2 linked regions of the Callithrix jacchus genome follow. The protein of the gene in region 1 purifies or fractionates together with the protein of each later gene. This does not show direct contact. Links are inferred from orthologs where the notes say so. Each region holds a gene or a part of one and is shown on either strand. Other genes may lie near its edges.

Region 1 (4,421 bases):
GAGTAATCTTGATAAAAAGTGGTTTAAAAAGGCACATTTATTGTTAATGAACCTCATAACCAAAAACAGATGGGACCTCGATCAACGGTAAACCTTTAGTTCTCAATGTGCCACTCTAGAGTACAAAGATAAATAGCCATTAATGTTTCTCAAACTTTATAGTTCTTCAATTGGTATTCTTAAGGTTGCTTTTAAATCTCTAGATTAACATTGCTGTCCCCCTTTTCTTGATTATATGGTAAGAAGTAGGCTATGGTTAAACAGAAGAAAAAAATGTTTACAGAAAAACCATGCTGATACAAACTGGCTTTCAACAAATCCAGATTTAAATAGCTTCAGTATAAGAATTTAAAACAAAAACAAGCTATGTCAAATTACTAGACAGCTAGGAAAAATGGTAATTATTCTCTGGTTTTCCTAAATATGAAACCCTTAGTTTTATGAGCTCAATACTTCAAACACCATGAAAGTTCATAAAATAATTCTAATTACCTGTTCTTATCAATCCTAGTTAAAACTATACTTTAAAAATGACTTTTATATTGTCTAATCACTTTACTGTAAATGATGTGAAAATTGATGTCTAATACATAACTGAAAATAATTATCTGTTAATGTTTTGAAGTTAATTATGATGTTAACGCCATTGCATGCTGAGGTTATTTCTGAATACTGGATATTTTGTTTTACCATTATCATCAAGGTTTTTTTGTTTTTTTTTTTTTCCTATAGCTTGACACTTCAACCTAATGTGCATATCATGAACTATATTCAATTTTTAAAAAATATTTATTTTTAACAGCCCTCTATTACTAATGTACACCTAAATATTAACTCTAAAACACATGAGTTTAATGCATCAGTACATTGGATATTTGAAAACCTTTCACTTCTTTCTGTTTGCTTAGGGGTAAACTGATCCAATCATGTGTTTGACCCAAAACTTGACTAGGTCTTTAACAAGTCACATAACTCTTGAAACTTTGGTAGTAGAAAACTTTTTCTAGGCATTAACTTATGCCACTGGGGAGTTTAAAAAGCAGTTAGATGTTTGTTACTTTCTTTAGAGCTGGTTTATGTGTTTTTTATAAGAATTAAAACATATGTAAAAATAGAAACATATACATTAGATTTCTAATATTTTGAACTGTGATAATCTTTCCATCCTTTATTAAAGTGTTTCTGCTGTCTTTTTGTAATGAGTTTCTAGTTGTTAAAAATTGGGACTGCATAAATACAATTTGCTGTTTTCTTTTTAGCTATACTTCTGATAATTCTAAAAGTAAGCCCATTTTTCCTCGCTTTTTTTTTATAGGCCAATTACCTTTTTATTCATGTGTATTGGTACAGTTTCCACAGATCATTCTGTTAATTTGAATAAGAATGTAGGGCTATTATCTAGAAACATAGTAACATCTGTATTTTATCTAGAAAGGCCATTTTACAAATACATTATATTAGTAGAGAGAGATATCTAGAGCTAAAACATTTACATAGGACACATATATGCATACGGGTCCCCAACCAATTGTAACGTGTCTTCTTTTTAAATTCTGGCAGGTGATCTTTAGACAGTGACTGAGTATGGATCATTTGAACGAGGCAACTCAGGGGAAAGAACATTCAGAAATGTCTAACAATGTGAGTGATCCGAAGGGTCCACCAGCCAAGATTGCCCGCCTGGAGCAGAACGGGAGCCCACTAGGAAGAGGAAGGCTTGGGAGTACAGGTGCAAAAATGCAGGGAGTGCCTTTAAAACATTCGGGCCATCTGATGAAAACCAACCTTAGGAAAGGTAAATACTCTCAAGCCAAATCCTGGAAAGCTGAAAGCCCTGGTGTCTACACAAGGCCACATTGTGTGGGGGTGGAGTGGCAGAACATGTTTTGTATACTCTGCCTTTATTCTCTTTCTGATCTTAAATTAGTTACATTCTGGGTCCTTAGTATCAATCATGTTAGAAAGTATAGGCTCCATGCTTGGGTGGAGCATTTTACTGTAGTCTGGAATCATTGGACATTTCAGATTCTAAGGACTGAATTAAATATAATGGTCTTAGTTTACACAGGGGTCCATTCACAAGGTGTTACAGTAGAGGATTGTAGGCGGCTGTTGCTTTAAACTAACCTGATTAAGAATAAAACACTTAGGTGGTTTGAGAGCTACCCTAGCTTCTTTCTAAGATTTTTGGTTGTAAGGCAGTTTCAGAGATCTTAAAAGTCTTACACAGAAGTTTGTCATGTTATTTTTCGTGGCTTATTTTCTTCAGAGAAAATTCATTAGTATTGAAAAATCTGATGATTCTGGTCTTTAATTTTTGTTTTAATTGGGTATGCTTGATGAAGAAAGAACAGATTTAGACAAGTTTAAAGGGGAAGATGTGTAACTGTGTGACTCTTTTCTATCAATATTAAATTGATGCGGTTTAACAACTTTGACTGTGTTTAACAGTGTTGTTCCTGTAAAGCAGTGCCTCTCCCGGGTGTAATGCCTGTGCCTCATAAGGAGCTTCATTCTGTGTCTAAATAACATGTATAGGAATCAGATTTTCCTTATAATAGCTAAGCAATGGATTAAAAATGCTATATTTTAGCAACCAAGAATATTAAGTAGCTAAAGTTAGAAGGCAGAGGAATTTCATTGTGTTTGATGCATAACATTTATCATACAATCATTTATTTTTTCCTTGGTTTGGCGAAAACAAAGAATATATTGATCCTGAAATGAACAGACACAGCAGTCCGTATTGTTAGATCTTTATCTATTAAAAATGGAAAAACAGCACTTCAGCAAATTCTTTGGCCTCTACTCATGATTACCCTATTTATTGATTGTTTGCCAAGAATGTATGCATCTTAAGAAAGCCAGGGTAAGAGCATTAAAAATATAATTTATTACGGCTTTTCAAACAGAGTACATTAATATTGTACTGTGAAGCACTGGGGCTCTATAAAAAAGACTTTCTGACGCCTGCAAACATGTAAGTTCCATAAATTCCTAAATAGGAGATTTCAGCTGTCTCTGGTATTATGTGATATTTGCACAGCAAACTTTAATGCCAGGACAGTTTTAGACAAGGATTCTACAGACTTCACTGCTCCTTATGGCAGACGTGCTGTTTACACAGGCTCATAAACCTTCAGCAAAAGCTTCTAAGACTGCCTTCAGGTTTAAATCATGTGGTATTTTTAGCATTCAGCAGTGACCAGTGCTCTCCCCTTTAAATGCTGGAAGGTTATGAAGTCGCTGTAGTTGGAACTCTCACCGAACACTTGCACGAATAATCAGACAGTTCAGAGAAGGCTTATGTTCAGCGTTATTCCCAGGAACAGGAGGGTAACCGCAACAGTTTGCTAGAAGATCTGTAATTAGATGATACTCTTGTTACTTTATAGACATCTTTATTATTTTAGGGTACCTCTAAACATAATCGATAAAATCCAAAATAAATCCAATATATTTCAATAGTTTGAAAACCCTGCAGTTCATAGGTCTAAGGAAAAGCATATTGTAGAATACATCTGTTTAATCCTTCAAAAGGAAGAATCAATATGTGTGTTTTTGTTGTACTTACTCGACTCCTTGAAGATATCAGGACAGGAGGAGGAAGAACTAAAAGTACAGTAAATTCACTTCCTGCTCAAATGCTTTTTTGTTTTGTTTTTTGGATGTATGCTAAAAATGCAGTTTAATTGTAGAAGGGCCTCAGATACTTCAAATAACAAAATTGCTAAAGCCTTTTCATGGATTTTTATTAATATTTCCATCTTATTTTTCTTGTGCATGGTTTCTGTCTGACAGGTGCTAGATGAAAATTATGGCTGAGATGAGAAAGCACTACTAAGAAAAAGGGATTGAATGTTTTTATTTGTTTAGGCGATTTTGTCAAAATATCTTCAAGCCAAGGAAGAAATCACCAGTTTGCGTATTGCTATTTTTGCTGTGGTCTCCCCAAGTTGTCTTCTGATCCCTGACGGGTTCTCTCGCTGGTATAAAACAGCTGAATGAATGACAAAAATATTGGCAAGCTCTGCAGCTTGTTTTTCATGCTTATCCTATTGGTACCTCTGAATGAGTTTGTGAGTTTTCCTAAGTAAACCTAAAGGGGTTTATTTGTCAGAGCTAGAATCTCTTGTGAACAGTTCACTAAAGCTTTGGTGAAGACTCACATATAGAAAGATGTAGCTGTTTTATTGCCGGCTTTTGTTCAACAGAAACAGCAAATAGAGAATCTCTAAAGAGCCTCTCTGGTGTCAGTAGGAAATCCTGATTTTTAGCTACGGTTGCTGTGTACTACATATCTTCAGAAGTTGGTAGGATTCTGTGAGTCCAGAGGACAGAGCTTACAGAGGCATTAGTATTGTAGGACTAATTGTGGATCCTGGGTGCCCTGTTAAAGTAACCCTTGTCATCATTTATGC
Region 2 (4,244 bases), on another chromosome or scaffold:
TTTTTTAGTATAGACGGGGTTTCACCATCTTGGCCAGGCTGGTCTTGAACTCCTGACCTCATAATCCTCTCGCCTCGGCCTCCCAAAGTGCTGGGGTTACAGGCGTGAGCCACCACACCTGGCTAGATGAGGTTTAAATACTTCCAGTTGGGGAACTCTCCCCAGCTCCACCACAGGTGCCCCTGAGTGTCCAGGGACCAGAACTAAATTCCTCAGACAAGGGACTGGGAGAATGATGTCAACTTCCCATTTCAGGTCTAGAAAAGCCCAAGTTCCCCAGCGGGGTAAATAGAGTCGCTAAAGGGGCCAGGCTCGGTGGCTCACCTGTAATCCCAGCACTTTGGGAGGCCACGGTGGGTGGATTACCTGAGGTCAGGAGTTCGAGACCAGCCCGGCCAAAATGGTGAAACCCCGTCTCTACTAAAAAATACAAAAATTAGCTGGGTGTGGTGAATGCACCTGTAGTGCCAGCTATTCAGGAGGCTGAGGCAGGAGAATCGCTTGAACCCGGGAGGTGGAGGTTGCAGTGCACCAGAGATCGTGCCACTGTACTCCAGCCTGGTGACAGGGTGAGAATGCATCTCAAACAAAACAACCCAAAAATTAGTTGGGTGTGGTGGCGTGCGCCTGTAATGCCAGCTACTTGGGAGGCTGAGGCGGGAGAATCACACTTGAAACCAGGAGGCGGAAAATGGAGTGAGCCAAGATTGCGTCACTGCACTCCAGCCTAGGCGACAAGAGGGAAACTGTCTCAAAAAAAAAAAAAAAAAAATTGCTAAGGGGCAAAAACAGACGCACATCAGCAGTTATTTTTCTCTGCCGTCAGCAGCTCAGGAACTTTGCTAAGGGTGCCAGGGAGGGGTCGAGAGCAAAGGTGCAGGCTTGACACTGCTAGACCGGCCCAGCCCCTGCGGAGCCCTGGCCTGGCCCAGAGAGACCAAGGGGATGGAGGCTTAGCGCTTCCTACTCCTTCCGCTGTGCCCCTCGGGTTCTCCGCCCGCGCCCCCTCGGTTTCACAGCCTTTCGGCAGCGCCCTTCCCTGAGACCACGCAGACTCCCCTGGGGGTTGCGCGGGCTCAGAAGCCTCCACGCGTCGTCTGGGTGGGGACTGGGAGTCCGCGGACCGGCGGGAGGGCCGGCGGAGCTGGGGGCGGGCCGAGCTGGGGGCGGGCGGGGGCTGGAGCCCTGGCTTGAGTCCCAGTGGGCGGTGCGGCGGCGCGAACGGCCCCGGTCCCTCCCAGGCGGGAGCAGAATCGGCGGAGCCCTGGGCGGCCGCGAAGCCATGGACGGCAGCGGGCCATTCAGCTGCCCCATCTGCCTGGAGCCGCTCCGGGAGCCGGTGACGCTGCCCTGCGGCCACAACTTCTGCCTTACCTGCCTGGGCGCTCTCTGGCCGCATCGTGGCGCCGCTGGAGCCGGCGGACCCGGAGGCGCGGCCCGCTGCCCGCTGTGCCAGGAGCCCTTCCCTGACGGCCTGCAGCTCCGCAAGAACCACACGCTGTCCGAGCTGCTGCAGCTCCGCCAGGGCTCGGGCCCAGGGCCCGGCCCCGGCCCGGCCACCGCCCCGGCCCTGGAGCCCTCGGCGCCCAGCGCGCCACCCAGCGCCCCTGAGCCGTCGGCTCCCTGCGCTCCGGAACCGTGGCCGGAGGGCGAAGAGCCGGTGCGCTGCGACGCGTGCCCCGAGGGCGCGGCCCTACCCGCCGCGCTGTCCTGCCTCTCCTGCCTCGCCTCCTTCTGCCCTGCGCACCTGGGCCCGCACGAGCGCAGCCCTGCGCTCCGCGGACACCGCCTGGTGCCGCCGCTGCGCCGGCTGGAAGAGAGCCTGTGCCCGCGCCACCTGCGGCCGCTCGAGCGCTATTGCCGCGCGGAGCGCGTGTGCCTGTGCGAGGCCTGCGCTGCCCAGGAGCACCGGGGTCACGAGCTGGTGCCGCTGGAGCAGGAGCGCGCGCTTCAGGAGGTGGGGCGCGGGGACACTCGGGTGGGCCGGGAAGGGTGACGGGGGCGCTGAGGGCCTTGGACCGACCCCCCAACCTTCCTGGGTTGGATCTTAATTTCCTCCTCCCTAACCCTTCCAGCCTTGACAGTGTCTTCTGTTTGCGGTGGTGGAGATGGGAAGGGAGGAAGGAGGGACGTGAGAACGGGACAAGGACTCGAAGAGCCGGCAGGGGACCTGAAGCCGTGCTGGGGTCCATGGGAGTGTAGGCGGGAGGGAGCGGGGTTCTCGCTGCTGCTCCCGCCAGCCGCTCGCGCTGGGCTCAGCTCAGATTTGCGCTGGGCTGAGGCAACGGCTTTCGATGGGTGTGGTGGGTGGCAGAGGGCGGCCAGGCACACAGAGCCTCTGTCCAGCTGTTCAGGGGGGCCTGTGGTGGGAGCATGTGCGCGGTGGCCGCTACCTCCCGCCCCCAGTTTCCTTTGGCCTCAAGCCCGGTCTTGGCGCCTCCGGCCTTGGGATTTTCCGTCTCTCCTGCCTGGAGCAGTGACTCATAAGACTTGGGGGATTTGCCTGGAATCCCCTTTTTTTCAGGCCTGGACTGTGGATGCAGGCCCTGTGGGAACAGTGAGCCCCAGGACAGCTTAATGCCTCCTTGTGCGGTCACCCCTCACCTAACTCTCTTACTCTGTGCCTCTTCTCTGGGAGGAAGTTCTCAAATTCATCTGAGCCCACACTGAGATCAGAGAGGGGAGGCAGACACCCACATCCCACAGGTGTTCAGGAAAGGCACCAGCCTGGGCTGCAGGCACGTCTGGCATATGATGGGACATGGTGGCCACTCCAGTCCCACCCAGTGCACAGATACCACTCCCTGGTCACCCTCTTCTCTCCCCTGGCAAGACCCGGGACCCTAGTGCAGCGCTGTGGCTTCTGCCAGACCTCACACTCATGGAGGGTGTTGTCCACAGGCCGAGCAGCCCAAAGTCCTGAGCGCCGTGGAGGACCGCATGGATGAGCTGGGTGCTGGCATTGCACAGTCCAGGCGCACGGTGGCCCTCATCAAGGTCAGACTCCCCTCCCCAGCCTCCATCCCTGTCCTCCCCTGCAGCGGGCATACTCCTGGCAGTATATGCTTTCAGAACGGAACAGTCCACTCCAAACAAGCCATGCCCACACCTACTGAACACAAGTGTCCCCTGACCTGGCCAGAGCTAGGGCAGGCTCAGGCTGGCCCCTCTGTCCCCTCAAGAGGGCCATTGGGAAGCTGGCTCAGGGAAGGAAGGGGCCAAAGTCCAGGACTGTTCTTTGCCCTCACTGCCACCCCACTGTCATCCTGTGCAGAGTGCAGCCGTGGCGGAGCGGGAGAGGGTGAGCCGGCTATTTGCAGAGGCTGCAGCCACCCTGCAGGGCTTCCAGACCGAGGTGCTGAGCTTCATCGAAGAAGGGGAAGCTGCCATGCTGGGTCGCTCCCAGGGCGACCTGCGGCGACAGGAGGAACAGCGCAGCCGCCTGAGCCGAGCCCGCCAGAACCTCAGCCAGGTCCCCGAAGCCGACTCAGTCAGCTTCCTACAGGTGAGGGCCGCTCTGGGGGCCACAGAGGGAATGGAAGCTGGGGCAGGTGGGGTGGAGGGAGGATGAGGCAGTGGTGCATGACCTCCTGGCAGAGCTGCCTCCACCCCCAGCAAGGAGGACCCATGGCCAGCAGAGCTTCAATGGGCATTTGTCTGGCACAGGAGCTGCTGGCGCTAAGGCTGGCCCTGGAGGAGGGGTGTGGCCCTGGACCTGGCCCCCCGAGGGAGCTCAGCTTCACCAAATCATCCCAAGCTGTCCGTGCAGTGAGAGACGTGCTGACCGCGGCCTGCGCTAGCCAGTGGGAGCAGCTGAGGGGGCCGGGCGGCAATGAGGACGGGCCACAGAAATTAGACTCGGAAGGTGGGCAACCCCCTCTGATGACTCACCCTCTCCCAGCCTCCTGCACAGGCCCCTGGGCCTGTGGCCCATCCAGAAGTAAAGGAGGACAATTGTGCCTGGCACAGGGAGGGGCCCAAATCCTGCCAGTGGCAGGAGCTGCCACCCTGAGGGATCAGTCAACCCCTTGGACCACAGTTTAGGGCAGAGAGGTCTTCTGCTAGCCCACCCTCTAGCTGCAGAGGGGCTGTGGCCGGGAAGCACGTGGGGCAAGGGGCAGAACACAGGAAGCCAGCATGCAAGTGAGCACAGCGTGCCATGTCTGGGTGGTGGCTCTGGACTCTGGGAGGAAGTGAAGGGAGAAGGAATTGCAGTCACAGGTTCAGAGGGGACAGTCTAGGGC

What was found.
Region 2: the proteins of SATB1 (region 1) and TRIM47 purify together in Homo sapiens (affinity purification with mass spectrometry; 4 studies listed by BioGRID and IntAct, with this or other methods). This does not show direct contact. The link is inferred for Callithrix jacchus from reciprocal best matches to the Homo sapiens genes SATB1 and TRIM47.

What each region holds. Positions count from the first base shown.
Region 1 is NC_133518.1:57,115,730-57,120,150, reverse strand, and holds the start of SATB1 (DNA-binding protein SATB1), read left to right. Parts: upstream 1-1,578; 5' UTR 1,579-1,584; coding exon 1,585-1,795; intron 1,796-4,421. UniProt on the Homo sapiens protein: Crucial silencing factor contributing to the initiation of X inactivation mediated by Xist RNA that occurs during embryogenesis and in lymphoma.
Region 2 is NC_133506.1:131,771,617-131,775,860, reverse strand, and holds the start of TRIM47 (E3 ubiquitin-protein ligase TRIM47), read left to right. Parts: upstream 1-1,249; 5' UTR 1,250-1,282; coding exon 1,283-1,957; intron 1,958-2,901; coding exon 2,902-2,997; intron 2,998-3,274; coding exon 3,275-3,505; intron 3,506-3,666; coding exon 3,667-3,865; intron 3,866-4,244. UniProt on the Homo sapiens protein: E3 ubiquitin-protein ligase that mediates the ubiquitination and proteasomal degradation of CYLD.